4 linked regions of the Tamandua tetradactyla genome follow. The protein of the gene in region 2 interacts with the protein of the main gene of each other region in a pairwise test. Links are inferred from orthologs where the notes say so. Each region holds a gene or a part of one and is shown on either strand. Other genes may lie near its edges.

What was found.
Region 1: the proteins of LZTS2 (region 2) and FKBP6 interact in binary tests that used the Homo sapiens proteins (3 or more experiments, as listed by UniProt). The two-hybrid records come from large-scale screens. The link is inferred for Tamandua tetradactyla from reciprocal best matches to the Homo sapiens genes LZTS2 and FKBP6.
Region 3: the proteins of LZTS2 (region 2) and GPANK1 interact in binary tests that used the Homo sapiens proteins (3 or more experiments, as listed by UniProt). The two-hybrid records come from large-scale screens. The link is inferred for Tamandua tetradactyla from reciprocal best matches to the Homo sapiens genes LZTS2 and GPANK1.
Region 4: the proteins of LZTS2 (region 2) and THAP7 interact in binary tests that used the Homo sapiens proteins (3 or more experiments, as listed by UniProt). The two-hybrid records come from large-scale screens. The link is inferred for Tamandua tetradactyla from reciprocal best matches to the Homo sapiens genes LZTS2 and THAP7.

Annotation. Positions count from the first base shown.
Region 1 is NC_135349.1:11,071,455-11,079,256, forward strand, and holds the start of FKBP6 (inactive peptidyl-prolyl cis-trans isomerase FKBP6), read left to right. Parts: upstream 1-4,798; 5' UTR 4,799-4,934; coding exon 4,935-4,991; intron 4,992-5,125; coding exon 5,126-5,243; intron 5,244-5,657; coding exon 5,658-5,747; intron 5,748-6,499; coding exon 6,500-6,702; intron 6,703-7,802. Other genes in the region: E3 ubiquitin-protein ligase TRIM50, read right to left, coding at 158-556. UniProt on the Homo sapiens protein: Has an essential role in spermatogenesis. It is required to repress transposable elements and prevent their mobilization, which is essential for the germline integrity.
Region 2 is NC_135339.1:62,550,114-62,557,665, reverse strand, and holds the start of LZTS2 (leucine zipper putative tumor suppressor 2), read right to left. Parts: upstream 3,009-7,552; 5' UTR 2,852-3,008; exon of another isoform or gene 2,444-2,851; intron 2,179-2,443; exon of another isoform or gene 1,557-2,178; intron 1,456-1,556; exon of another isoform or gene 1,413-1,455; intron 817-1,412; exon of another isoform or gene 663-816; intron 276-662; exon of another isoform or gene 166-275; intron 2-165; exon of another isoform or gene 1-1. Other genes in the region: TWNK (twinkle mtDNA helicase), read right to left, coding at 6,079-6,399, 7,294-7,435. UniProt on the Homo sapiens protein: Negative regulator of katanin-mediated microtubule severing and release from the centrosome. Required for central spindle formation and the completion of cytokinesis.
Region 3 is NC_135331.1:87,251,481-87,258,629, reverse strand, and holds the start of GPANK1 (G patch domain and ankyrin repeat-containing protein 1), read left to right. Parts: upstream 1-4,137; 5' UTR 4,138-4,233; intron 4,234-5,076; 5' UTR 5,077-5,249; intron 5,250-5,492; exon of another isoform or gene 5,493-5,495; 5' UTR 5,496-5,599; coding exon 5,600-6,225; intron 6,226-6,819; coding exon 6,820-7,149. Other genes in the region: CSNK2B (casein kinase II subunit beta), read right to left, coding at 241-331, 900-1,089, 1,233-1,308, 1,723-1,838, 2,345-2,447, 3,147-3,218.
Region 4 is NC_135331.1:26,825,484-26,832,847, reverse strand, and holds THAP7 (THAP domain-containing protein 7), read left to right. Parts: upstream 1-4,707; 5' UTR 4,708-4,921; coding exon 4,922-5,001; intron 5,002-5,324; coding exon 5,325-5,480; intron 5,481-5,867; coding exon 5,868-6,008; intron 6,009-6,169; coding exon 6,170-6,734; 3' UTR 6,735-6,856; downstream 6,857-7,364. UniProt on the Homo sapiens protein: Chromatin-associated, histone tail-binding protein that represses transcription via recruitment of HDAC3 and nuclear hormone receptor corepressors.

The sequences.
Region 1 (7,802 bases), on a different chromosome or scaffold from region 2:
ATGAATAAATGAATGAATGAATGCTCTCAAGAGCTCTCTGCTCCATCACAGGGATGGAGGGAAACTGAGTCCTGGCCCCAGGACCCTTCCTCTGTGCCGAGCCCCTCCTTCCGGCCAAGCACCCCCACCCCACCCTACCTCCCCAGCAGCTTCCCACCTTCATGCGGCTGTAGACGGTGGGGACGGGGGTGACCCGGTGGTGCTGGTGGGAGCCCAGCAGGCCGCAGAGGCCGCAGATGAGCTCCTGGTCCTTCTCGCAGAAGAGGCTGAGCGGGTTTCGGTGGTGCGCGCACACCTTGGGCTCCGGGTCCCCGGGGAGCCGCAGGGCTTCGATTACCCGCGCCAGGGAGACGTTGGGTGGGGAGCTGCTGCTGTCCACCGCCCGCCGGCACTCAGGGCAGCGTAGCTCGGCGTCCAGGTGGCGGGACAGGGCGACCAGGCAGCCCTTGCAGTAGGAGTGGCCGCACTGGAGCATCAGGGGCTCCTTGAAGACCTCCAGGCAGATGGGGCACTGGAGCGGGTCCTCCAGCTCGGGGACGCTCACCTGCCCAGCCATGCGCACTGCCCAGGCTGAAACACAGCACGGGGGGAGGGGGGCCTGCTCTCTCCCCTCCCTCTGCCCAGAGTGCGTCCCAAAGCTCCCAACCCCCAGGGGTGGCTGGGATGCTCTAGGGAAGGCTGCTGGTCCTGGGTTCCATCCCTAAGCACCTAAGATCTCGTGCCTGTTTCCCCATTTTAAATGAGAAAATGGTCCCTTAGAAATAAATGACTCCAAATTTTGTACTCAGCTTTGGAGGTAAACCAGAAAGGAATCATCTGGAAGAGACATTGATAACCCAAGCCCCAGCCCCGGCAGGCATCCTGGCCAGAACTGGGTAGCAAAACCAAGCAAAGGTCACTGCAGGGAATTACTACTGGTCCTTCCCACCTTCTCAAACTTTTGAGACCTCCCGAGAGCATCATTATGACTGGAGATTCCTGAGTCCCACCCTCAGGGTTCTGAGGCCCAGAACTTTGCATTTTTAATAGACACCGGCAGGGAATACTAAAGCATTAGACCTGGGAGGGCGCTACCCTAACCTTCTGCCCAGCCCCAGGTGGAGAACGACACAGGGCAGTAGGTGCAGGGGGAGCCCAGACGTGGTCCTACCTGGCTCTCACGGTCCTCTGAGCCTTCCCCCCAGGCCTTCCCTTCTTCCCAGGGTGGGCCAGCAGCAGCGGGATCTGGGGAACGCAGTGTACCCCACCGAGCCTCTGCCCCTTTCTTCCTCCGCTTTCCCTTTCCCAGCAGCACCCCCGTGTCCTCAAGGTCACTGGTATCAGGTGGAGAAACCTGGAGCAATCACGGGACTGGGTGACAGCTTCTGCCCGGGCCAGCGCTGATAACTGCTCACTTATGTTCTGGGGCGGGGGTGGGGGTGGGGGGCCGAGAGGGACCGCGCATGCAGCTACACCTTGCAAACTCCAAACGGGAGGGGACACATGCCTCAACAGAATTCTTTCTGAATCATGACTTTCTTTTTTTTTTGGTGGCATTTTGAAGGTATTTTAAAAATCTGATTTACTTAGATTTTTAAAATTGAGGTAGAACATCTACAAAGAGCACAAATCTGAAGTCCACAGTTTGACATGCACTTCACATTTGTATACTTACCCTCAAGGTCAAGATGTAGAACTTTTCTGGCACCCTGGAGGCTCCCTGTACCTCCTGCCAAGTAGCACCCCTTAATATGGGCAGCTGCTTTCCTGACATCATCATTGTAGATTGTCGGGGCTTCTTTCCGAATTTGATGTAAATAGAATCATATGGTATGCATTTTTTTGTACCTGGCTTCTTTCACTCGACAGTATTTAATTGTGAACCTTTTCATGTGAAGTCTTTCAAAGATTTAGAAGTTCAGTCGCATTGCACTATGCAGCTACTGAATATCATGGTCACAATATATATGTACATATTAATATATATCATGGGGGTGCGGTGGGAATTGCTATGGAAAAGACAGAAACACTCAAAGGGAGTTCTAAGGACAGCGGGTCACAGCCCTGTCCACTCTAACTGCCAACAGGAGGAGGTCTCAGCCCCAGTGACAAGCAAGGCCAAGGTTTGGGAAAGGCAGGTTTTAGGCACATTTGACTTATTACTTGAACAAATGCTTACCGAGACCCTGCTATGTTCAAGCACTGTATTGGTGGTGAGTAGAGAACACGACAGACCAAGTCCTTTAGAGTGTCCAGGACAGTGACGATGTAGTGGTATTAGGTATGGAATCCCTAAATAAACAAGAGAATATAATCACGTTGAATGCTATTCAAAAAGTCAACAGAGTGATCCGAAAAAGGGAACGGGGTGGTGGGTTGCATGAGATGCCACTTTAGATGGAGGGGAAAGATACAAAGAAGCCAGTCACATGGAAGTTTGCAGCCCAGGCAGTGGAGAGGGGCTGGCAGGTGCAAAGGTCCTGGGCTTGGAAAGACTTGGTATCGCCGAGATACCAAAGTGGAGACCTGGGTAGCTGGAGCATGGCACACGAGAGGGGACATCAGGAGATGAACTCTGAGGGGTTGGCAGGGAAGGCCCTATCGGCCAGGGCGAAGCGTTCAAATCTCATTCAAGGGCAATGGAAGCTACTGCATGGCTTTAAGCAAGGGGGTTTTATATTTTTCAGAGATCTCTCTGGTTGCTGTTGAGTCCACGGATTGGGGTGTCTTGGGCACCTGGGTGGATGGGTGGCGGTGCCAATTCCCAAAGATTAGTGAAGATCAGAGTGGAAAAGGGAGATGAGAAAATCCAGAGTTGGATGCCAGGGGACATCCAGGTGAAGCAGTGATTAGCCAGCAGTCTTTAGCCTTCAGCAAGAACAGAGGGGCCTGTTAAAGCACAGCTGGTTGGGTCCTGTCTGTTGAGTTCCTGTTTCGGGAGGACAGGGATAGATCCAACAATCTGTATTTCTAGTAAGTTCCCAGGTAACACTGGTGCTCCCGGTCTGGGGACAGCATTCTGAGATCTAGTGGGGTAGGATACTGGACTCTGGCATCTGGGCCCTGGAGCTGAATTCAGAGCGGCCCGAGGCTGGCTGACATGGGTCACCTGTGGAGACATACGGGAAGGGCTGGAGTCTCCCAGCGAGTGAGGACAGACAAGGAAGGACAGAGGGCCAAGGAGGGGGCTCTGGTTGCCAAAGGCAAGAAGAGGATGCCTGAGAAGGAACAGCCAGCGAGGTCAGAGGGAAACAAGAAGAGAGTGGTAACCAGGAAGCTGTGGTAGGAAGAAGGGCCAAAGATATCCACACCCTGACCCCTGGCACCTGGGTAGAGGTGACATGATATGACAAAGGGGCTTTGCAGGTGCGAATAATGTCACAGACCTGAATTCCTTGGGTGGCCCAATCTAACCACATGAGACCTCAAAAGCAGAAAACTTTCTCTGGCCAGAGTTAGAGAGATGCTGCAGAAGGAAAAGTCAGAGAGAGCCCAAGCATGAGAACGATTTGACAAGCTGCTGCTGGCTAGGAGATGTCGGAGCCAGCATACAAGGACAGCAGAGAGGCCTCTAGGAGCTAAGGGTGGCCAAGGAGACAGGGACCTCAAGCCCAGAGCCGCAACCAGCTTGGAAGCGGATCCTTCCCCAGATCTCCCAGGAAGGAGTGGAGCCCCGCCGAGGCCTTGACTTTAGCCCAGTGAAACCAGCAAAGCTTCAGACCTAACATGGGTGTCTTTTTAAGCCACCAACTTTGCAGTAATTTGGTAGGATAGTGATAGAAAACAAATACCCGAAATCGAGAGAAGAAAAGTGTTAGAAGGGCAGAGAGGTCAAATGTCATTTGTCAAACGTCCTCTGGAGTCGGATAAACCAAGGACAGAGAGGTGTCTGATGGATCTGGCAACAAGAGCAGTCTCCACGTATGGGGCGGGGGAAGGTAGCAGTGACGTGGGTTACAGAGATGGGCACAAAGAAGTCGAAAAGCATTTGCGGCAGCTCTTCCCAGAAGTTTTTCTGAGAAAAGTAGGAATCGGGCCATCCGCAGCAGGAGCGTGACGCGGGCTGAAGGGAGACTTGTTCGTTTTAAGGTGGGAGCTTTCCGGACAGGTATGAGCTGAAGGAAATGATGCCACAGTCAAGGCAAGACTGATGGGGTGGGGGGGAGTGGCAGCCAAGCGAGGGAAGCCCTTGAGTGGGCAAGAGGGGAAGGATCCAGGGAGCGAGCCCACAGAAGGGAGCAAGGGGCCGGTCTTCCTTCACAACAGGAGAAAGCAGGTGCAGCGGATCTTGTGGATGTGGCTGCGGGAAGATGAGAGATGTCATATCCATGTGCTCCCCCCGCCCCCCGAGCTAAGATCCGGGAAGTCTGGTGTTAAAGCCCACATGGGGCCTGAGTTTCTGCAGAACCCAACGAGGAAGGGGGCTGAAAACGTAACCCTCGGCCTTGCGGCCTCAGCTTACTTGGAGGCAGTGCCCGCCATGTGCTTCCCGCGCCCCGCACGCATCCAGGGCGATCCACACCCGCCACGTGCTCCCGCGACCGCCCGCCCCGCACGCGCCTGCCGCGTCCCGCCCCCGCACGCATCCAGGGCAAGCCACACCCGCCACGTGCTTCCGCACCCGCCCACGCGCACTCGCCTGCCGCGCCCCGCCCCGCCCCGCACGCGCCTGCCGCGCCCCGCCCCGCACTCGCCTGCTGCGCCCCGCCCCGCCCCGCCCCGCACGCGCCCCGCCCCGCACGCGTCCAGGGCGAGCCGCGCCCACCACGTGCTCCGGCGCCCCCTCGTTCGTTCGTGGCAGTTGGCCGCCTTTGGCGCGGAGCGAGGCGCGTCCCCTCGCGGAGGGCGGTGGGTGGCGGGCGGCCGGCCTGTATAAAGCGGCGACCGAGCCCGCGGCTTCCCGGAATCTCGTGGAAGTGCGCGCGGGCCGCGGAGGCGGGGAAGTCGGCGCAGGCATGGGGGGAAGCGCCCGGAACCGGGGCGTCCTAGGAGGAGACGACGCCCCCGGCCAGGTGGGGGAAGCCGAGGACCCCGCTCCTGGGGTGGGGGTCGACCCCGGAGACTGCCGGCGGGGAGGTGACGGGTGGTGGGCGTAGGGGCGGCCTCCGAGTGTTTACCGTCTTGTTTTTTTTTTTTTATTCTCAAGTCTCCGTATGAGAGGCTAAGTCAAAGGATGCTGGACGTTTCCGGGGACCGGGGCGTGTTGAAGGATGTCATCCGAGAAGGCGCTGGGGAGCTGGTGACCCCTGATGCTTCCGTGTTAGGTACGGCCACAGCCTGGCTGGGATTTGGCCTCGCGGTGCTGGCGGAGGCCAGTGGAGATATAAAAGCACTGTCCCTTCCGAGTGGCAGCAAACCGTTCAATTGCACTTTTCTCTAGGGGCGGGAAGATTGTATTTTTTTTTTTTAAGTAGGTAGTATTTTATAGGGTAGAAAGTTTTTTGAATTTGGATTTTTAAGCAAAGAGCAAGGAAACCCATCTGTCACCCCTTTGCACCACCCAGTGTGAGCAGGGAACGTGCAAAATGTTGAGAAGAGATTCGTTCCTATAATTCGGCATATGGGGTGGTTTAAGCTCATTTGATTGCATCGTTTTGGTGGAATAGCAGAGCTCTGATATAAGACATCAGTCCCTCTGCCTCATTTTCCTCCCCCTGGGTCTGTTTTCTTCATCCTAGTGAAATACTCTGGATACCTGGAGCATACGGACAAGCCTTTTGATTCCAATTGCTTTAGGAAAACACCTCGGCTGATGAAACTTGGAGAGGGTAAGTTCAGACTAGGAACTGGTGAAGAGATAAGGGAACGTGCCATAGGAAGGGAAAAGTCACCAAAGCACAGGTTTTCTGCGTTGGTTTTTCTGAGACTGGGTTTTGCTAAAGGCAGCCAGGTTCTCTCCCACATCCCCCCTGGAGCCCTAGGGATTCCAGAGATGGCCTAGCTGGCAAGGTTTCCTTTCCTGCATCCTGCCTTCTCCACTGGCCGTTTTTCTTTGTTCATTTGCTAAGTGAACAGGTATTGAGTGTTCCCCACACACAAGGCAGGGTGACAAGGGAGAAGGTGCCCAGATGATTAAACCTTCCCAGTATGGGGAGATTGACGTGTATTCAGTCAGGTAACCTTGGAGAACCCAGTGAGTGCCAGGGAGGTGGAAGCACTGTATGGAAGTGTTTAATGAAGGTACAGTTAATTCCAGCGGGGAGGATCTGGCAAGGCTTCCTGGAGGAGGGGGCATTTGAAATGAGCCCTGAAGTTTGTGTGAGATGTCAGCCAGTGTAGAAGCTGGGGACAGGGTGAGAGGGAAGAAAGAGAACAGCAGGGACAGAGCCGCAGAGCCTAGCAAAGCTAGAGTTTGGGAGTGGCGGTGGTAAGCGGGAAGAAACAAGGCTGGAAGGTGGGTTGGGACCACCGTACAGACGGTTTGGAGTATTACGCAGAAAGGACTCGAAGGGGAAAGAAGCTGATCGCATCAGGACAGGATTGGACACCCTTTAACCATGTTCCTGGCCTCTTTGTCCAGATATCACGCTCTGGGGCATGGAGCTGGGCCTTCTGAGCATGCGGAGAGGAGAGCTGGCCAGGTTTCTGTTCAAGCCCACCTACGCCTACGGGATGCTGGGCTGTCCCCCCCTGATCCCCCCAAACACCACTGTCCTGTTCGAAATCGAGCTCCTGGACTTTCTGGACTCTGCCGAGTCAGACACGTTCTGTGCCCTCTCGGCTGTAAGTTCCGGCGTACAGGTGTCAGCCCTTGCTACGGAAAGGGGTGGGTTTGGGGCATTCTGCTGTACCGCCTCCCCTGCCCCCAGCCCACCCTGGGCTCCTGCGCCGTGGCCCTGCCTTGGTGGAGGACCTGCGTGTCCAGTCCGGGTCTGTCATGGGTAGGTAGGAGTGCTGGGCCCAGGTAAGTGGTGGTTATCGACCTGCAGTTTAAGCTGCCGCCTTTGTCATCCTTTGCCCAGTTCTCCCTGCAGGGCGGTGGATATCTGCTTCCCAACGTTAAGTTTGTTGCCCAGTAAGTATTGGCAGCCCATAATGACGGAGACTGTATAAATTATATGTCAATAAATTGTTGTCTAACCGAGGACACTTGAGAGTGAAGGGCCTTTTAACTAGATGGGACATGAGGACTTTGGGTGTCCACTGGGACAGTCCCAGGGAGACCTGGACACATGGCCCTTGTCCTCAGAACTTTAGTCGTGACTTTTCTGTGTAGCCTTTCATTTAAGCCCCTTAGAGGTAGGCCTTGTGATCTCATCAGCAGATGCATACCCTCTCCCCTTCATCCTGTCCCACGCCGGCTTGGGTTTGCAGCCTTAGATGTCACCCCAGGTTTTGCCTCAGTGTAAGATGTGTCCTCAGCTAACCCCTAAGTACCCAAGAGAGGGGTCTGTCCTCGGAGTAGAGGTCCTTGTAGATGCCTGGGGCTCGCTTCTGGTGTACTAAGCTGGTATCTCCAGGGATGGGACCAGGACATCTGTGCAGAGAAGGAGACTGTCTGAGTGATGGTGATATGTGGCCAGGACCGAGCAGTGTGGCGGTAGTGACCAGGGGGGCACACCGAGACCCGCGCGCTGGGTGAAGGACTGTCCGTGCTCCATGGGAGACCGCTCCCTTCGGGAGAGCATCAGGGAGGGTGGGAGAAGCAGGCCACCTCCCGGCTCCAGCGTGTGCAGTGGGGACGCATCACACCCACTGCCACGGCTTCTCTGGGAGCTCCGGGGACTGCGCTGCCAAGGCTCCTTGTTTGGCTCCCCGAAGGCAGTAAATCAAAGTTCCCAGAGCTGCAGTGGCACTCTCGCCGCGGCTTTGGGTTCTCCTGC
Region 2 (7,552 bases):
ACCCTCAACAGTCCCCAAAGCCCTCCCTTCCCCGTCCCTTCCCCGTCCCCTCCCCTGGCTTCCATAAAGTAGGGGCAGCTGTGGAATGCTGGCTCCCCACTGGACCTCCACCGCGGAGAAGTTCGGGGCGCCTCCTCTCACCTCCCAGCCCCGGCCCCCCCTCACCTCCGCCGCGCTGCTCCATGCTCAGCCCCGGGCCGCCCCCAGCGCTCCACCAGCGCGCAGCGCGGCTCCAGCCCGCGCACGGCCAGTCGGGCGGCCGGGCCCGACCCGGCCCCGGCCCCTCCTCCGCGGCGCCCCCCCACCCGCGGGGCCAGCCGGCGCCCGGGCCGAGTGGGCGGGGCAGCGCGGGGGAGGGGTCCGACGGGCGGCCCCGCCCCCAGACGCCGACACGCGCAAGCACCCCCACGTCACGCGTGTCCAACGGGGCACACGCAGGAGCAGCACAGCGGGAATCAGGATCCCTCCCTCTGAGGCTTGGTGTCTATGGTCCTGGGGGTTCGGTGGGCTCAGGACTCGGCAGCGGCGGGTCACTCTCTCCCCACGCTAGGGCCCCAGGACCGGCGGCAGCTGGTCATTGTTCCAGCACAAAGGGCCAGGCGTGACGGCGGCCACCCCGCCCCCATTCGCTTCTCTAGTCGAAGCCTCTCCCCAAGACACACTCTCCTGCTTCAGAGTCCAGACGGGGAGGTCGAGGGTCCGCTGCAAACCCCCTTCCTGCTGTCGAGGCCCTATGCCCCGGCACCAGTCTGGGGGCGAGGCTCGGTCCGTGCCTGCCCCACCCCCAGCGGGTTGAGGGCGGTACACTTGGATTGGGGGAAGCGACGCCACCTGGCGGCTGGTTGGGAGAACACACCCAGCCCCCTCCACCCGCCGTGCGGGCCCCCATCTCTCTCTCCAGAACTGCCCTCTCCCGCCCCAGCCCAGATCTGCGCCCGGCGAGACTCCGTGCTTTCCAGCCTTCTTTCGGAGCCAAGAAGCTTGAAAAGAGGCGGCCCTTGCCCCCCCCCCCCCACACACACACAGTTACTGGGGCGACCCGTTCCAAACCTACAGTCCAAACCTACACCATCCTCACAGGAGACCACATTCCAGTCTTTCCCAGGGTCACAAATACTCTCAGCCTCTCGCAAATAAACACAATCTTTTTAACACCCACACACTGTCTCATCCATCATTCCGTCTCATGTTCCTTCTCCCAGTAATCTTTCAGGCCAACTCACACACAGACACAGTGTCACACATCTTGTTTGGCACAGTCTTCACGCCCAGTCACAAATACATTTGGTGTCCCAAGCATCTTCCACACATTGACAGGCACTCACAGTTGCTCTCACAGCTTCTCACACATACACATCATGTTTCACAAACATATCCTTCCACACGGACTTTCCCATAGGGGTCTCTACGACCTGGTCAGGTCAGCTGATGTCCGCACCCTGGGCAAGGACAGTCCCCTCCCCGCCCCCCAGCGCCAAGGCCTAGCTAGGGCTCGCTCCGCCCCAGGAAGGAGCACCCCCCCCCCCCCCCATCGCGCCGCAGGCCACAGCCCTGGCCGGGCTCTCAATTCTATTTTTAGCTTTATGGAAAGGGTTGTTTTTCTTTCTTTTTCCCTGGAAAGGGAAACACAGCCCAGCCACCCTCAGGCTCACCCCAGACCCTCAGCCACGCAAGAACCAGACGGAGGCTCTCTCCCCACTGGAGACCACCTCTTCTGGCCTTGCCCTGATCCCAGCCTCCCGGGACATTTAGAGCCTCCGCCCCTTCCCGGCAGCCGGCGCAGAAACTCAGGCAGCAGTTGGGCTCAGCGTGTGCGCGTGGAGGGGGGAGGGGGTATAAAGCCGCTGCCCACTCCCTCATTCCCCGGGCTGGAGGCTGGCGCTCATCCTCCCTTCTACTAAAACGGTGGTATTGAGGGGTGTTTACACTCCTGCGTTCACTGGGCGGGGGTGGGGACTTCCAATCTTACAGGGGCGGGCATTCTGTTCTACATCGCGGGGAGGAGCTCCCAGTCCTGCAAGAGGGCGGTGGGTTGGTAGGAAGGTGATCCACAGATGCTCAGACAGCTGCTCCCTGGGCTGGAGGGAAGGGACGGCCATCAAGGCGAAGGCCCCCTCCGATACCTTCAGGGATGAGACACCACGAACGTGTCCTGGGGAGGGAGGGCGAGGAGCCCAGGTAACCCCATCCCAGCCCTACGTTCCCGGTCCTCCGAGCCACCCTGCCTCCAGGGGGCGATGTGTCCCTTTTCTAGGGAAAGGCTTATCATTGCTCCAGGTTCGAGGCGTAGAATGGAATACAGCCCCGAGTGGGACCTTGCAGACTCGCCCCGAACTGAAAGAGGCGGTCCCGGGCCTTCGGCGGGGGTGGGGGAAGCACAGCCACTAGGCTGCGCCGCGATCACGTGCTCGGCGCCTGTTTACGTCTTAGTCTTCACCTGCAGGCGGCCGGGAAGCAGGAACCTCCGGATGCGTCCCACCCGACCCGCCCCCGTCGGCGGTCACGGGGCGGCCTCTTCCCCCTACCCCCGCCAAGTACGCGACAGCAGAGTGCCCTGCCCGCCGGGGGTCCGCGCGGGCCGGTGGCGTGCCCCTGCAACTGCAAGGGTAACCCACTGGCTGCATCCGTTCTTGAGTGCACGTGTGTTCGTGTGTCCCAAGTACGTGCGGGGATCGGTGTGCACACGTGTGTGGGCCCGCCAGTGTGAGTATCTGCGTCGCCTCCTATTCAGACTCCCTCTCCTGCGTCCCACAGGAGGAGGACCCCACTCCGCCCCTATCTCCAGCTTCCCAGACGGGGAAAGTTCGCTCCGGAGCGGGGTGTGGGAGGCGGGTATTCCCCCACCACTCACCAAACGCCAGCTGCGCCGCAGCTCCAGCTCCGGCCCCGCGCCAGCTCCAGCGCGGGCACCTCCTCGCGGCCGACCCGCCGGCTCCCAAGCCTGTTCTGGACTCCCGGCTCCCGGCTCCCTTCGCCCTCCTGGCCGGGCCGGGTGGAGCGGGGCGGAGCGGTGGAGGCCGCGCCCCTGACTCAGGGAGGGGAGTGGTCTGCCCAGCACCCCTTCTACAGCCGACCCTGTAGTTGGGCAGTGCCTCGAGTTTGCCCTTTAGGTCTCTGACTTCACCGGCAACCTGGACTTGGCTTTGACCTGGGGAAGGGGCGAACAGCACGTGATGGAGAGCTAAACGACCTGGCTGTCCTAACAACGCTGATTATGGGACTTGAGTCTGCCACCCCACCCCTCTCCTTAGAGAGCCCAACAGGGTCTACTCTCAGCCCACTCCCCAAACACAGGAAAATCCCTGAGAAGCAGACAAAGAAAGCTCGGGTTTCACCAAAAACAGCCCCCCTCCCCCCTTGGGGCTGCCCAAGCAGAACAGAGCACCACCCCCTTCCCCGAAGTAGGTGCCTGCCCAGGTGAGGTCTGCCAGTTCTAGCCTCCACAGGGCATGGCCAAGCTTCCCTTAGACTCATAAAGTCCCACCCACAGGCACAAACAGGAAGTTGGCCTTTATCTTAGGGAGGCACTAAGTGCTCCCTCTCTCCATACACCCAAAGCAGCGGATGGGAAGGCATAGACTATAATGTCTGCAGGAATCTGGGCTATATTTACAACCTGAGTAGTTGGGCTGCAGGAGACTGGTGAGTGTAGTCCATTCTCAAACTCATCTACATTTGAGAGTAAGCTGCTGGAGGACCAAAACTGTTCCCTCACCGTGGAGACCCCTCCTCCCAGCCAAGTGTGACACATACAGACACTGTAATCTGAGGACAAAGCTGCAGATCCACCTGGACCCTGCTTGACCAGGCCATTCTTGAGCAATCGGGGAGATTCTTAGCATTCACTTGGAGGTAGACAGAGTCCAGCCCTATCCCAGGTAATATGCCTTAATGTACTTTGAATGGGTGTGTAGACAGTGACTCCCAGGGACCTTACACAGGATGCAGAGAGCCCCTCTAGCCCGAATTCCCACTAGCCCACTGGAAACTCCTGAAGGATTTCCTGAAAACACACCATGTGTTCAAGGGGGACCAGGATGTGAAACCTCTGTCTTTGTAGGTAGGACTGACCTGGAGTTCTGAGCATCTGGCAGGCATAGCTGACATCCAGTGTTTGAGTTTGGATGAGGCCTGGGCCAGCCAGCGGCTGGGAATGATTACTGCAGGATTAGGGAGGCCTGGCTCCAGCCAGTCTGGGAGAGAGACCCCCAAGAAGGGAGGCCCTGGAGGAGCTACCTCCCAAGTTTTGCCCCACAGAGAACAGCTTTGCAGCAGCTTTGCTCTGGAGTCTGTTTCAGGAGAGGTATCTGGCCACAGCTGTCACACACTATAGACCAGAGACCTCAGGCCTTCCATGGAGTCCCAGGAGCACGCTCTTAAGCTGACAGGGAGAACTTTACATGGCAGCCCTGCCTCCAGAGAGCAGGAAACCTTTCTCCCACCTAAATAAAAGGCTTCTCCCCAGCCCCCTCTGAACATCTTGCATTCTCCCCCACGCTTTCAAAAACAAATGGGCAACTCTAAAGAGAAACTGGATACAGAAAGTGAGACAGGAAAATGTCATCATTTAGGAATATTTCTGACAGGATCTCAGTTCACCTGTTTGCAATTTCCTGCAGGGCTTGTTAAAAATGAGGGTTCTTAAACCCCTCCCCAAACCTCTGGAATTAGAAATGTATGTGTAGCAGGAAGTGAGGGTGTGGGGCGTGTGGGCCTGGGTTCTGAATTTTTAACAAGATCCCCAGGAGTACTGATGCACACTAACATAAGAAAAACACCAAGAGGGTACAAGGAATAGGGAAATGACGGCAAGATAAGAATATGCTGGGTCTAAGTGAACACTGAAGGTGGTCAGCGAGTGCCTCACATCACAGAGAACAGCTGACCAGACAGGGTCTGAGTAGCCCAGAGACCCACTCCTCTGCTACGAACAACATGGAGTTCCTCAAGGAGTTAGGGATAAGGACACACTTGTCTTCCCTAGGCCCAGAAGAGCTATATGGGTAGGGGTGAGGGTCTTTCAATGCCCCTTCTCCCTTGGGAGCCCACAACTCAAAGGCCAGGAGTGGGGAAGGAGATCCCCTCCCCTCCACTCCCAATTCAAAGTGTGAGTCCAGTTATACACTGGGGACACCTGGTGGACAGAAAAAAAAAAAAGCACAGAAACAAAGGCAGTGAAAAACATTCTTTTTCAGTAAAATTGGAAAAGGCTTTATAAAAAGTCATAACTGCATCCACTCCAGCACTACTGTTTGTCTAAAGCAGCTTACCTGGAATTAGTGCCCAGGTGGCAGGCTCTTTGGGTTCATGGCTGCTGCCAAGCAATCCAGGGGAGGTAGCTCCTACCTGTTGGGTCCTGATAGTCCAGGGCCAAGGACCTAGGATGCCAATTCTAGCTAATGCCAGCTCATGACAGCCCCACAAAGTGGGGAACGGGGGGGGCCTAGTACCTACCATATCATGCTTCAGCTCTGAAAGCCTAGGCGGGAGCTGCATCAAGGAGCCTCTTAATCCCCTCCAAGATGAGGGGCCTGACACCACTTTCTTGAACTCAATTTGCTCATTCCCAACCCAGGGCCTTTGTATTTCTTCTTCCTTCTATCTGGAGCCTGCTTCCTCTAGGTATTCACATGACTTGCTCCTTCCCGTTCTTCAGACCCCAACTCAAGTGTCCTCTGCTCAGAGGTCTTTTCAGATCACTTAACTGAAACTAGCCTGTGAACATTCTTTATCACATAGCTGTTTTTTAAATTTTCTTTATAGCATTTCCATTATCTAAAATTATGTTCTCTGTTCTTTTATTCATTGTTTATCTTAGCTCCTGCACCAGAATGCAGGTTCTACAGAATAGGACCACATCTGTCTTGCTCAGTGATGTATTCCCACGACCTAAAGCAAAGTCTGCAGAATTGAACGCTCTTCCTATGGAATCCTGCCCTAGCCTAGGCCCTTGAGACTGAGAGGAGCCCATAGCTTCAGGACCACAGCACAGAGGCAGCCCTCACAGAGGGCCAAGAAAGAGTCTATGTTCCAACTTGTCCCATCAGGCTCACTTTAGTGTCCAGCTTTGTACACCCTTCACCTAGAAGGCTGGGGGGTGTCTGGCTGATAGGGGTTGGAGGCCTGACCCGGGCCAGCCTCAGAGTTCTGGGGCACAGCCCCCTTTTTGCCAGACGAAGGCTTTTTGGCCACTAGCCCATTGTCATCCTTGATCTTCTTGAGCCGGACCTTGCTCTTTGGTGGGATGGAGAAGGTGAGGGAGCTCTTGTTAAACTCAAGTGGAAAGACACCTACATCTCCATCAAAGCGGTTCTTGGACACCTGCAGATACCGCTTCCCTGGTCCAGTTACCAGCTTCCTGTCCTGCAGGATTAGAACATTGTCTGCTTCCTGGCTTGCCTGGAGGTTGGCGGGGAGGGGGGTGCAGGGAGCAGAAGAAAGAAGGAAGGGGTGAAAAGACATATGAGAGAGGCAGAAATTACCACAGCTTTCTGAACTATTGACCTACATGCTAGGACTACTCTAATCTTTTCAGTTCTTTGACAAGGAGTTCACTGTGGGCTAAAGACTTTGTACCTGATGTTTTCCTCTGCTTATAACCCTTCTTCTCCATAGCCAGCCACCCCACCCAACCCCGGCATCTCCTCGTCATTCAGGTCTTGTTTTAAATGTCCCATGCTTCATCTGAGACCATTCTTCTACTACTACCCTAAATGAAGAAAGTGCCACCATTTTTCGACTGCTGCATTTTTCTTCTCCCCAGCAACTTGTTTGTTCCATTGTGGCATGTAATTTGTGCTCCTCGCCCTGTATTCCCTGTGCCCCACCCAGGCCTGGCATATAACAGGCACTCAGTATCCACAGAAAGTTCCACAATCACCCTGGTCCTGCTGCCCAGAATGCCCATTTCTTTAATTATCTAACATTTACTGTCCATCAAAATTCAACCAAAACTTCAGTGACACCTCCTCTGAGAAGTCTCCCCAGATGTCCCAGGCAGACTCAGATGTCTTTTTGTTCTCCAAATATGTGTGCTGACTATCACAGCACTTATTGGTATTGAGTTGTAATCATCACCTTATTCTTTTCCTCACTAGAGGATGTGAGCTGGAGTAGAAGAACGACACACTATTATTATCAGCTTTTGTATTTGAGTACATATATATTCCTAATGTCGGTCCCATCTGTTAAATGGATAGTCAACGAGGTTATTTAAGGCTGACTGTGGGCTATCCCTGGTCATACTTGACCACTCTGTTCACCAAAGTTTGGTTCTCTCCAAAGATCACTCACTTTGGCCGAGCCAAAAATGGATGCTGTCTGCAGTTCCTTGTCATCATCCTCCTTCCGGGGGTGTATGACCAGTGTCACGTGGCAATTATTGTCTGTAGCAAACTTCCGAAAGGCCCCAATGACATAGTCTTGAGCTGCAATCCTGCTCCCAAAAAAGCAAAAAAAGTTACTGGACAAGAGGAGAGATCAGATGGAATCAAGAGGCTGTTCTGGAGGCTGCTCTTACAGAAGCTTCAGTTAGGCAGTCCTAATGGCCATG
Region 3 (7,149 bases), on a different chromosome or scaffold from region 2:
TCTAAGTTTCAACTTGGGGAGGGTGGGCCATGAGGGCTCCTGAGGTCCAGCACGCTGCCACCTTCCCTTCCCCAACCCCAAGCACCAGCAGACTGGCTCATGGCCTTTTCTTCCACTTTATTTCATATTCCCACCACAGTAATGACTCCTTTAATTTAAACTAAAAACCATGAAGGGTTCCTGAAAGGGTGGCAGCGAAGGAATAGGGCCATCAAAGACTGAGGGACAGGTAGGGGGTAATCAGCGAATCGTCTTGACTGGACTCTTGAAGTTGCTGGCGGCTTGGAGCTGCAGCTGGTAGGCCATCGGATGGATCTTGAAACCATAGAGCCTGGGTCGGGGTGACAGGTCAGAGAGGCAGCAGGGTGAGTCCCAACCTGGCCCTGCCAGGGGTCTGCATTCCTGTCCCCACTCCCTACCCCCTACCCCCAGATCCTCCTGGGCCTGCTCAATGCTTAAGGGCAGCAGTTCCCAAACTCCTGCACTGGAAAATATCTGGACATGGATCTTAAAATTGAAACTCTAGGATATATAGTTGTACTTGCTTCAATATAAAACTGAGCCTTTCCTCCCCACAACCAGACCGGTGCTTTAAGATGAGCCAGGTTTACCCTGTGGCTCCCAGGATTCTCTGGTAAAAGGTTGAACTCTCAAGGCAGTGGTGAAAATAGCTTAACATTACAATAGTGCCTTGGAACTTTGTTCTAAACAATCTACATATTTAACTATACCCTGTTAAATAAATTCTGTCATCAATCCTGTTTTACAGGTAAGGAAATTAAATAAGGAATTTGAATAATGCATTCAAGGTCACTCAGCAGAGAGAAGCCCTGGCTTTGGGACAACCAGGGACTTTCATGCCCTTCCTTTGACTCTTGGTGACTGTCCGAGCTCCCCACCTGGGCACAAACTGGTTGGCTGGCCGCTTAGGTCGGTACTCGGGGTGCACCATGAACAGCATGTGAGGGAAACCAGTGCCGAAGTAGGCGCCGTCTGTGTGGTGGTGCCTTGATGACTTGGGTGTGTACACATCCATGCACTTGGGGCAGTAGAGCTTCACCATGGCCTCGCCTGGGATGTCTGATAGGCCTGGGAGACAGCCAGACTCAGCAGGCTGGGCACTCACCCACCAACCCTGACCAACTCCCCCCCCACAGGACTCAGGCCCAGACTTGCTGAGTCCCAACTCCTTCCCAGGGAACCTGCCATATGTCACCCTCCCCAACACTCACCAATGGGAAGCATTGGCTGGTTCTCACAGTACACACGGGGACAATAGCCAAAGTCTCCCTGCTGGTATTTTTCCAACTAAGGTGAATAAAATGGAAGAGATTGGTGGGTAGGTAAGAAAAAGCAACCTATGTGGTTCTGACTCCCTTCTCAACCCAACCCACATCACTCTGTCCGTCAATCCTCCCGCCTCTGTCAGAAGTTCCCTCTCTGGCTCAAACTCCTCGGCTTTCCTTCAGCTAGGCTGAGGACCATCAAAGCCATTTGCCATTTGTTTCCTGAGGAAGAGGCAGCCTATAAGAACTTCTATTCAGACGCATGTCTCCCTCCCTGACTCAAGTCTGGACTCAATTCTCAGACCCAAATTTTGGGATTCTTTCCCTCTTCTCAGCTAGACTCCCTGGCAAGGTTAAAATGTGTGACTTCTCACTGTGGGAACCTTCGTTTCTCTTATTTCTCAGAAGAAGTCAAGTGGGAGCAGAGAGACCTCACCATCTGGGCAATGCCACGGTTGGTGAGGATGTAGCGGGCGTGGATTAATCCATACAGCATCTCCGCCGCCTGCTCAATCAGGTCACTCTGGTTGGGGTTGTCTTCCAGCTCTTCATCTGAAATATGTTCCAGCCCAAATGCAACACTAGTCATTCAGCTTTCCTAGATGCTCCACCCACTCCCAGGGGTACCCGCCACCCACTATTTAGGCATCTGACCCAGAAACCTGGGTCTCTGCTTCTCCTTTACACCTCTCCAGCCTCTGTTTTCTTCTCCCCCTCCCAATTCCTTCCTCAATGCATAAATGCAAAGACGTTAATGCAGAATGAGGAACTTTAGTCTGGAAAGTGCAGGGCAGGAGAAAGAGGCAGAAAACAAGACATGTGCGAAAGATGGCATTATGGAACAGAGTTGAGTTACAAGACAAGAAAGCATGGGAACATGTGGCAAGAACTTGGCAAGAATCAGATGGTGATCAAAACAAAACGAGGAGTTTTGGCTTTAGAAAGCCACAGAAGCAAAAAAAAATTAGGAATTAAAGAAACAAGTGAACAGAGATTTGTAGAAAAAGGGGAACAAAACAAAGACAAATAAAAAAAAACAAACACTGAGAGTGCCTCACCAGGCTCCAGGTCCAAAATCATGTCTAGAGCTTGCCGATAGTGGGGTACTTGCTCATTGAGCCCTGTGAGGTTGAACTTGTCCTGGATGTAATCTTCATCCACCTGTTAAGATGTGGAAGTCAAGAGGGAATTCATAGCGGAATCCACAACTTTGGCCAAGGCAAGTTGCTCTAAATGATGCCTGGTCCTCAGTGTAGCTACTTCTATTACCCTTGTTCCCATTCCCAGGGACTCAATAGAAGTACCTGACTTTCTCTTTCCCATTCACACATACTCCTTTCCATAAAAGTTTTGGCTTCTCTGTTCTAAGGATAAAGTGGTACACCAACCTCCACCTTGGAAACATTCTGTTCATGTTCTGTATCCTTTTTCCTGAACGTCACCCCACCCACCCACTCCCATCTCTAGGAACCACGTTTATCCTCTCCTTAGGGACAGCTGTCTCTCAGGAAGGTGGAAGCTGAACAGCTTAGATTCCCAAGGCAGTTACAATCCTTATGTTACTACAAAGTTTTGCACTTCATAGAACTTTTTAACACACAGTACTTCAATTTTCCTCAGTCAACCTGAAAAGAGACTGCCACTACCACCCCACTATTATGAAAGAGACACAGGTTGGCTTATTCAAAGTTACACTGCTGGAGAATAATGGGATTAGTATTTCACCACAGGTTACTGGGCCAAACTGAGAGGATCATTCTTTGACAGAAAGGAGTTTTCATGGTAGCATGTGAAAAAATTGAGTGAGAACGTCTGGGGCCAGAATATGTGTAGGAAATAGGGACGTTTAAGAGAACTCACTTCACAGAAGAATTCATTGCCACGGAGCCCACAGAACCAGGAGATCCAGGATACCTCCTCTGAGCTGCTCATCTTCACGTCTGCAGGGAAAAAAATATGTGAAGCTGGTGACCCACAGCTCTTGCTCCCTGCCTACTCCCTTAATATCCTCCCTCCTCCTACACTTTGCCCTCCAACCACAGAGAAATTTGGGGCCACCTTATCTTAAAGGATCTCTGACTCTACAGCACACCTTTCCTGCCCCTCTTATTTACATGCCTTGGCCTCCTTCCCCCCCAATCAGACATTCTGTGATGTTCCACCTCCTACCATCATTTGCGAGAAGCCTATATATCTTTTCTCACTAGTTCTCTCCACATCCCTGGCGATCCCGAATGCTAGGTCCCTTTTCCCCCGTGTCAATTCCGGTAGGGTCCGCGCCTCGGACGCCGAAATACCGCAAAGCTCTGCATCGCCCGGTTCCCCAGGGTTCCGAAGTTAATCCTTCCCGGGCAATCGCCAGGTTTCTTCTTTAGATCCCTTCCATAAAGTTCGCACATCCCGCCTCCACCCCTCAGGACACCCCTCCCTCCCTTCCTCCCTGGGTACCAGACCGGGTCACTTCCTTCCCCGCCCCCACATCAAGACGCGGAGACCCCATGTGCCGCGCCCAGCGAGTAGACGTTCCGCACAGCGACGACCTCAGACTCACCTGCTAGACGGTGGCCAGGACCGGGGGAGGGGGGGTAGGGGAGTTGGTGCTTTCAAGGGGCGGCGACGACCGCTACAGCGAAGGCCACGGACCGGACCGCGGCAGAAGCGGGGTAGGGGGGAGTGGAAATTGGAGAGGGTGGGGAAGAGGACGACGCGCAAGCGCTAAGGGTCGGGTGCCAGGGAGGACGCCGGGAGATGAAGTCTCCGGTACGGAGAAACTAGCGAAATGAGGGAAAAGCGAACTACGAATCCCAGGATGACCCGCATCCGACCCTGGGGTCGCGGAATCCGCGAGGAAGGCTGGGGGCGGGGCGCAGCGAGTCACCACCGGAAGCGGAAGCCTAACTCCACGTTCGGGGCCAGAGACTAAGGGAAATATAATCACGTGTTCAGGGTACGGAGGGGCCGACGTGGGGCGGGGAAATAGCGAGCTAGTCTCTGGTTCCTCCCCGCCGCTCCTCTAGCCGAGCGAACACTGGCTACCGGCATAGCGCTGCCGTACACGGAACTGATTCCATTCCGGACCGTTCTGCTGGGCCCTTATCAGCTATCGGGCTCCTTGCCAGAGTCAGGCCAATCCCTGGCAGGGCCCATGTTTCACTTTGGGCCCCGTTCACCCGAAGTGGGAGGTGCGGTCGGCATTCGTGCTGAGAAACTTGGGTGGGATGTGCTGCGCTGGGCTGAGCGGTCTAAGAACCAGAATGGTCCACTGCGCTAACCTGAGGTGGCACCAGCCATCCTGCCGCTCGTCGCCTTGCACTGCTCCATCTCTTAGAAGAGCTACAGTGGGAGGGGTTTTTTGCTATGGGCTCTAAGTGTGATCTTCAAACCCTGATCAGAGTAAGGGTGAGGGGCACCGTGACGTTATTTTATGTCACAGCTTATCGACATTCCACAGGTTTTCCTCTGCCTCTGTAAGACCTTTCTTAACCCAGGGACTGGCTTCCTAGTTCCAGAAAATGGGCTGGAAATGTGGACAATGTTGAGGGTTGCGAAGGGCATTGTGGGGCGTTATGTAAAAGTCGGGCCTCAACCGACTGATCCTCCTCGGTCCTCGCGACAATTGGGCACATGGTGCTTTGCGCGCAAACTATTGGCACGATTCCAGGGCGGGAAACTGAACCCGACGCTTTGCGCACGCCGGCGTCGGGAGTAGTGGCTGTGTATGCATTTTTTTCAATCACGCATGCGCCTTCGTGTTCTGTAGCTATTTGATTGTATTGGCTTGTTTTATTAGAGTAGCGCCATTTTGCCGTACGGAAGCTCTAAGAGACAGACGCCTCTGCTTGACATCCTCTTCCGGAGAAGTGTCATGTCTGTTTTTTTGTTTTTTGTTTTTTTCCGGAAAGACGGAACCCCGAATTAGGATTGAGGAAGATTTAAAGAGCCAGGCTGATGTTTTTCTTAATGGTATGTCTTACGGGGTGGAAAAGTTGATCCAAAGAGAGGCTGGTATTATTGCTGGGGAGGTCTGGACTCGGGATCTCTGGGCAACTCTCTCAGGGTGTTTTCTTTGTTAACCTTTAGCAAGAGACAGACCTGTTACTGTAGGATCTCATATTTTTATACGTGACCTTGCAGGCCCCTAAGTTCGGGGGTCTCTTTTGGGACAGCTATGGTCTTTGATTCTAAGGTTACTTTTCCTCACCCCAGCAGCTCCCTGGAAGTGGATTTGGACACTGCAGAGCCACTAGGCGCTTGGCTTGCTTGTCTGAGCTTCCCCTTGCCAGAGTCTCATTCTCTCAGTTCTCCCCCAAGTCATGTCCAGGCCTTCTCTTATCACCTTCACCCCAGCCAGTGACCCCAGCGACCTCTGGAAAGATGGGCAGCAGCAGCCACAGCCTGAGGAACCAGAGCCTGTCCTGGATGGGCCTGCAGCCCGGGCTTTCTATGAGGCCCTGTTTGGGGATGAGAGCAGCCCCTCAGAACCTCAGAGATCTCAGCCTAAGCCTATCAGGGTGAGAAAGAGGAAGAAAAGAAGAGTGGTGGGGACACCTGTGGCAGAAGCAGCAGCAACAGCAGCATCAGGGGGACACAGACAAGAGAGATCCCTTGAAGCCGAGGACAAGATGACTCAGTGGATACTGAGGGCAGCCCAGGAGGGGGACCTGGCAGAACTTCAAAGGCTACTGGAGCCATGTGAGGCAGGGGGTGCTGGAGGGAATATCAACACCCGGGACACCTTCTGGTGGACTCCCCTGATGTGTGCTGCCCGAGCCGGCCAGGAGGCAGCTGTGCGCTATCTCCTGGGTCGCGGGGCTGCCTGGGTGGGAGTCTGTGAGCTAGGTGGCCGGGATGCTGCCCAGCTGGCTGAAGAGGCAGGCTTCCCTGAGGTGGCCCGGATGATCAGAGAGAGCCACGGAGAGACAAGGAGCCCAGAGAACCGGTGAGGGGAAACCTTACCCCATAAACATATATCAGTGTGCTCTGCCCTTTCTAGTCACTCTGTACCAGAGGTTCCAGAACAGAGCTGGGAAGCTTTCCTCCTCAGTGTAGGTGATAAGATAGTATACTGGAGGAGTTCTGAACTCGAGCTCCCAGAATTTGAATCCTGACTTTACTTACATGGGCAAGGAACCTAACATCTTTGTGTCCCGGTTGCCTCAGCTGAGAAATGGGGGTAATAACAGTACTTTCTCACAGGGTTGTTATTAGGATTAAATGGGTTAATACATGAAAATGTTAAATGGTGCTTGCCATATAAGTATTATATAAATATTAGCTTTACTCATTATTCTCATTATCATTATTATTTTTCCCTTCCCCAGGAGCTTTTTGAGACCTGGTTACCACCTCTTCCCCCAACCATTCCCATCTGGGTTCCCACTGGGTTCTTCAAGTGGGGAGGAAGGCAATTTGTTCCTTAGCCAGAGGGCTGGAGGGAACCTGTCCCACCCTGCCAGCCCCTTCTGAGGCCTCTGTGTTCTTCCCCCACCCCACAGCCCCCATCCTCAACTCAACTCCTCTTCTTCCTCTGCAGGCCTCATGCTCCCTCTCCCCAGTACTGTGAGACCTGTGACGCCCACTTCCAAGACTCCAACCACCAAACGTCTACTGCTCACTTGCTGTCGCTGTCCTGGATTCCCCAGCCCCACAACCTGCCACCTGGAGTCTCTGCCTCCAATCCAGGCTTCAAGCTGCTGCTGAGGGGAGGCTGGGAACCTGGGATGGGACTGGGACCCCGGGGTGAGGGCCGAGCCGAACCCATCCCAACTGTCCTCAAAAGGGACCAGGAGGGACTAGGCTACAGATCAGCACCCCAGGCCCGAATCACACACTTCCCAGCTCGGGATACCAGGGCTGTGGCAGG
Region 4 (7,364 bases), on a different chromosome or scaffold from region 2:
CAACATGGACCTGACAGAGTTCCACACCAACCTGGTCCCCTACCCTGCATCCAATTTCCCCTGGCCACCTACGCTCCAGTCATTTCTGCCCAGAAGTCCTGCCACGAGCAGCTGTCCGTGGCCGAGATCACCAACGCCTGCTTCGAGCCAGCCAATCAGATGGTCAAGTGCGACACTCGCCACGGGAAGTATATGACCTGCTGCATGCTGTATCAGGGGGACGTCGTCCTGAAGGAGGACCCACAGCCATCGCCACCATCAAGTTTGTGGATTGGTGCCCAACCGGGTTCAAGGTAGGAGCTGGAAGGAGCCTTGCTTTTTTTGGGAGGGTACAGCACACCTGCATAATCATGCTGCCCCCCAAGGCCTTGGGGAGAAGTCTGCCCCATTCTCTCAGGTTCCTGGTCATAGAGGAGTGAGCCAAAAGTGATCACTTATCCAAGTTTGTATTCTGAGTTCCCTTCCTGAATTATCACAGCATATATATGTCTATGGTGAGCATTTAATTGCAGAAAATAGGAAGTATTCTGAAAAGAATTTTTTTTGCAATGTACTTTCAAATTTATTGATTTTGTGCTTGTGTATTATTTTTCTCATTAAAGAAAAAATGAGGAGGGTATAATAGAGAAGATAAGATTTTAAAAAGTAATATAACTGCTGAATCAACACACTGACGTTTCTTTTGGTCTCCAGTGTCTTGGAGCAGCCTCTCCAAGTGTATGGGTTGGGTCTATACCCTGGCCCAAGGTTTCTTGACTTCAGACCTTAGTTTCCATTGTTCTGCCTCTGAAGTTATTTTTCCTTAACTTTGTTGTTTTTCTCTCCCTTTTAGTCCAGAGTGGCAGTCGTTCCATTTATACAGATCCCACAGCACTCTTGTTGATTTCCTGTGCAATATACTGGGATCATGCTCATTACACAAAAGGACTTTGCACAGATCCTTCCTGGATAACTCCATACCTAATCCTGGCTTCTTCTGGAATGGCTAACTGGTTCCATACTTCATTAGATTTTCACGTGGGACACGATTCTCTGAGGCCTCTCTTTCTGGAGGCCCACACTTTTCCAAAACACCAATTTCTGTGTTCTTTGTACCCAAGATTTCAGTTCTCAACTTATCTCTTTTTCTCTCACATTTTACTATAAGCTGCAAGGAGAAGCCAGACTGCATTTTCCACATTTAGTTTGGGAATTTCTTCTGTTAAACATCCAAGTTTATCACTCTCAATTTCTGCCTTCCATCTACAAAGAATGCCTTTCTTCCGGTTTATAATGATACATTCATCATTTCTGTGTAAAGTCACATCAGAGTTATCTTTAGAGTCCACATTTCTACCAACAGTCTCTTCAGAGTATTCTAGGCCTTCTCTATCAAGTGAATCACAGTTCACCCCGAATCTTCCCCTTATCCATTTAAAATCTGTTCCAACCTTTTTTACTATTTGCAAACCATAGCAGCACCCCATTTCTCTGGTTCCAACATCTGTTCTAGTTTGCAAGCTGTCAGGATGTGATATACCGAAAGTGGTATGGGTTTCAGAAAGAGAAATTTATTAGTTTGAAAGTTTATAGTTCTCAGGCCATAGAAATGTCCAAATTAAGGCAAGTCTATAAACAATGTTCAAATTAAGGCATCCAGGGAAAGATAGCTTGGTTCAAGACTAATCAAATTCAGGGTTTCTTTCTCAGCTGGAAAGGCACATGGCAACGTTTGCTAACTTACTCCCCAAGATTCTTTAATGGCTTCCTTGGGACTCTGTTCTGGTGGCTCTAAAGCTTTTTCCAAAATGGTTCCCTTTTAAAGGGCTCCAGTAAGCAACCCCACCTTGAGTGGGTGGAGATATGTCTCCATGGAAACCATCTAATTAAAAGTTGCCACCCACAATTGGGTGAGTCATATCTCTATGGAAACGATAAAAAAGATTCTACCCAGCAATATTGAATGAAGATTAAAGGGCATGGCTTTCCTGGGGTACATAATAACTTCAAACCAGCACAACCATTCTTGCAGATGCTGACATTCAAGGCTCCTGAGCCCAGGCAGTTTCCTTTAGGTATACAGAAGCTGGTATTGTCTGGGGTATTGACTAAGATTTCTGCAGGCAGCTTGTACCAAAAGGCAGATAGTCCCCACATGCTCTCACAGTTGCTGAAAGTTATAAACACTGACCGTCTCAGGGTGTCAGAGACCAAAAGTCTTGCTTCCTCTGTTGGATGGTAGTGTTCTGGCAAGCTGACAGGCCTCAGAGTGCCTTGGTTTTTTCATTACATGGCAGTGTCCTCTCTTTTCTCTTCTGGGTTCCTGCTGACTTCTGGCCTCTCTCTGAAGGGATTTTTACATTCTTTTTTGGGGTAAAATTGGTATAGGAAATGTAGGTTGAACATAACCATGTGGGAATTTTCAGGATGTTTTTGTGAGTTGTGTGGATAGTGGATATATTTGAAATTGGGATGTTCCACAAACTGCTCTCACCAAATCTTACTTTCGTTCCATTGTTAAAAAACATCCTGTATAATTTTAGATTACATAAAAACTATCACAATCGTCTCGTGAAGAAAACGGAACATCTCTTATTTCTCCTTGGTTAGCTCCTCATCGTGGCCTGTGTCTGTTTCAGACACAGCATTTTTCTGAACTTTCATGTGACACATGATGCATCCTTCCTGTGGCTTCCAGCTCTGGGAGCCTTTGATTCCTAAACCCAGTCCATTCTCCTTTTCTTGGCCCTCTGATTCCTTGTGCCAGGCTATTTACACCACTTGGTCAGGTTCAGACCCTTCGTTTGTGCTGTGGTCATGACAAGTTCCTAACTTGTATCTCCTTCCTCTAGTTCTGAGGTCAGCTGGTGGAGGGACCAGCCGCCCGATTTTTTTTTTTAAGTTGAACCAATTATTCAAATTTTAAAATATTTTTTGAGATATTTTATATACAGTCACACCTGCCTGATTTTGTAAATAAAGTTTTCTCTGAATGCAGCCACACCTCATCCACAGATTGCCTGTGGGCACTTTTGAGCTACAGCAGCAGAGTCATGGGGAACGGTGACCCTGTGGTTAGCAAGGCCTAAAACTTTACTGCCAGGTAGTTGCTTACTATCAGGCAGTTGTTTACCCCTGCTCTAGTCGAGCCCATGTGCTCCTGTCAGTTATGTCTCTGAGGACCCTCAGGCCCTGCTATCCCCAGGTGCCAAAACTCCCCTTTGGCCCAACCTTAGAATGTCATGCAGTGCAGGCTCCTGCTTCAGCACATGCCAGAACCCCTCCAGTGGCTGTGGTGACAGTACATGACCCTTGGTTGTCTGTTACTCTTGCATAAGCCCATGACTGTGGGGACAAGGGGGTGGGGGTGGGATGAGCTTCCCTTATCCCAGTTGTGTTCTCTGAATCTGTCTCAGTTGAAACAATTCCAGCTACAAAATTCATCATCATCTTGTAGAAGCATGGGGGGAAATAATCTCCAAGAAACACAAAGCAGTATCCATTCCAGAGGGCAGACAGTCCCTTCCCTTGAACTGTTATGACACATCAGTTACGTGGTACCCAGAGTCTTCAGGCAGCTTGGAAGCAAGCCAGGGTGACTGAATCCGGCTTCTCTTTCCTGGCTATTTCCTTATCTTTGGAAACCATTTCCCGGCTCTGGCAGCCTGCCTGGCCCAAAGAAGGGAACAGTGAAGGTGTGTGGGCGAACCGAGCTTCTCCCTGGTGGCCACATGGCACTTTCAGCCTGTCTTCTGTGTGAGTAAAAGCAGCTGCCACTTCCAAGAGCCGATTTGAGTTCCGTGTCGTCTCCCCTTCTCCCACAGGTGGACATTAACTACCAGCCCCCCACCATAGTCGGGGGTGGAGTGGAGAGGGCACCTGGCCAAGGTGCAGCAGGCCGTGTGCATACTGAGGAACACCATGGCCATTGCTGAGGCCTGGGCCTGCCTCAACCACATGTTTGACCTCATGTATGCCAAGCGTGCCTTCGTGCACTGGTACATGGGGGAAGGCATGGAGGAGGGGGAGTTCTCGGAGGCCCGGGAGGATCGGGCTGCCCTGGAGAAGGATTATGAGGATGTGGGCGTGGATTCCGTGGAGGCCGAGGCTTAAGAAGGGGAGGAGCACGAAGAGTGAGCCGAAGAGTCTTTTGTATCCCCCTCATCCTACCGTAACATTACATAATATAGTTAACTATTAAAGTTTCTGTATTGAACCATCATCTCTTCCTTGTGCTTCATTTTGATAAAATTCCCAATGCAGATAACCTGCCTTTTCCAGATGGATTTCTGGGAAAAACATCCACGTGTTTCTCTCGTATTACTTAGCACGTCTGCAAAGGTTTAATTGGTGACTGCATTAATCCCAGAAGGAAGCCTTCGAAAAAGTGCTTTATTTTAAATCATCAAAATATTTAAAAATATTTAGTTCTAACCTGCTGCCTTTGGGAGAAGAGAATAGACATGTGACTCTCCTCCCGAAAGGGGCGGTCTCCGTAGCCCCGGCCATGTGTCTCCCGGATGCACACTCCCGGCCTGAAGGCCGAGGGCTCTCAAGGCCGACGGCGCCTTCCAGCTGCCGGTCACCGGCTCGGCAGCCTTAGGCGCGAGTTGCCGGCAACCCCGTGTTGCCGAGAGATCCCCCTCCCCGCCGGCCCTCGTCTCCTGCCCGCAAGGCCCCGCCCCGCCGTCGAGCCCGCGCGCCCTCCCGCATCTCCGCGGGGCCAACTTCCGCTGCCCCACACATCGCGAGACTTGGGCGGCGCAGCAATGGCGAGACCGTGAGTGTGTCCAGCGGGAGCCAGGAGGCCGGGCTGGAACTGTGCCGGGCCAGGATCGAGCCGGAGGAGCCCCAACGATCCGGGGCGTCCTGGGGCACAGCGGCGGCAGGGGCGCGGCCCCGCAGGCCCGGACAGCCGCCCACACCCCCGCCTCCCCGCCAGATGCCGCGTCACTGCTCCGCCGCCGGCTGCTGCACACGCGATACGCGGGAGACGCGCAACCGCGGCATCTCCTTCCACAGGTCAGAGCGCCTGCGTGGTGACGCGCCCGGGCCTTGCGCATGCGCCGCGGTTGCCCGCCTCCCTGGGCCACATTTGCGCCTGCGCTGTGCGCCTGCCTCAGGTGGGGGCGAGGCTCGGAACTTGGGTTCGGGGGTGGTGTCCGGTCAGTGTTCGGAGCGCGTCCTGGGGGACCTCGATGGACAGGAGGTCCTCCGCCCTGGGACCCACCGTCTCCTCTCCCCTGTAAGCAGTTTTCCATCCTGAGGGCTCACTTTCCTCACCTGGGCGGGCTGGGCGAGGCGGGGGCCGGGTGGCCTTTGCTCACGCGCTTTGGGCTCCGCAGACTTCCCAAGAAGGACAACCCGAGGCGAGGCTTGTGGCTGGCCAACTGTCAGCGGCTGGACCCCAGCGGACAGGGCTTGTGGGATCCCGCCTCCGAGTACATCTACTTCTGCTCCAAGCACTTCGAGGAGAACTGCTTTGAGCTGGTGGGAATCAGGTGGGCTCGGTCGCCAACCAGCAGCGGGGCGGGGTGAGGAGTCCTGAGCTACCACGTGGAGACAGGAAAATCCACACCCAAGACCCCCGTGCCAGTGAGACGGGAGGGAAGCATCAGCCTTTCCAGGGCATCGCATGGCCCCAAATAAAAGACTTCTTTGTCTGGCAGCCCATCTCTGCCAGGAAGATCCCTCCATGCTTCTAACGAGGCCTGCAGGGAGGAGATTGCTATAACTGCCTAACTTAACCCTTCCCGACGCTTTTTGCAGTCTGCTTTCCAACCTCCCCAGCCTAGTGCCTTGGGACCCCTCCTGGGGTGCTGGTGGATGTGCCAGCTCAGTGCCCAGGGCCCATCTCTTCGTCTCACCCAGGCTGCTTTTCCCCACAGTGGGTACCACAGGCTGAAGGAGGGGGCAGTCCCCACGATATTTGAGTCTTTCTCCAAGTTGCATCGGACAGCCAAGACCAAGGGGCACGCCTACCCGCCTGGGCCGCCCAACATCAGCCGCCTCCGGCGATGCAGGAAGCGGTATGTGCTGCGGGCTTGATGGACTGGGTCTGCCAGCTGCTTTTGGGTAGCTAGTGTCCTGAAACCTCTGGAGTTGGGGTACATGGGTGCAGGTAGGCTGACAAAGTGGGCCATAACAAGCCCTTAACCCAACCTGTTAGTGTCACTCTCTTTTTGTGCAGTGCCTCTGAGGGCCGGGGGCCCATGACTTTGTTCTCTCCCCCGCCACCTGCGGACGTCCCCTGCTTTCCTGTGGAAGAGGCTTCAGCACCCACCGCCCTGCCTGCCTCTCCGGCTGGGAGGCTGGAGCCTGGCCTCAGCAGCCCCTTCTCAGACCTCCTGGGGCCCCTGGGTGCCCAGGCTGACGAAGCGGGCTGCAGCACCCAGCCCTCGCCTGAGCGGGAGCCAGAAAAGCAGCCGTGCCCTTTGGCCCCACGGCCCATCTCACCCTCGGCCTACATGCTGCGCCTGCCACCGCCGGCTGGCGCCTACATCCAGAACGAACACAGCTACCAGGTGGGCAGCGCCTTGCTCTGGAAGCGGCGGGCCGAGGCTGCTCTTGACGCCCTGGACAAGGCCCAGCGCCAGCTGCAGGCGTGCAAGCGACGGGAGCAGCGACTGCGGCTGCGCCTGACCAAGCTGCAGCAGGAGCGGGCACGGGAGAAGCGGGCCCAGGCGGATGCCCGCCAGACTCTGAAGGAGCATGTGCAGGACTTTGCCATGCAGCTGAGCAGCAGCATGGCCTGAGGGGCCACCGGGCATGGCCAGGGTCCGGGCCCAGCAAGAGGCTTCCTGCAGCAGGACCTGCACAGAGCTGCAGCCACTGTGCCCTATCAGGCCCCATAATAAAGCGGATACCATAGAATAAGGCCCTGCTGCCTGGCTCTCAAGGTGCCTGGTACCCTCCTCTAGGTTCCAGGTTTCTCCTACCCCATCCCCATCCCCGGACAACAGCTGCTGGGCTGGGGACAGGCAGCCTTTGCCCCACCTAGGCTCCTGGGTGCTGGGACCAGAAACTCCTGCCCTCCAACTTCTCGTGGCTCAGCCCTCGGTGTGCACAAGGAGGCAGGCAGCAGCCCACCTGCCGTGGGCCATGGTGCCAGGACTGAGCACCAGTGTTTGCCCTCCTGCACAGCTCTGTGCCCACGGGGGTTCTTAGTAGGTACGGGGTATTGTGGTAGAAGCTGGGGGCAGTGCCAAGTACCCTTCCCTGGGAACCTGAAGCAATCTCGACTTAAGCACATTGGCCCCTTTGAAGTCTTTGTAAAACCCTGTCCTGATGTGGCTGCTTGATAAGGGCACAGGGGCAGCCCCTGACTCAGCAGGGGGCCTGTGTACCTGGCACAGCCTGCGAATCCTGGTCCCCAGACCCACCCA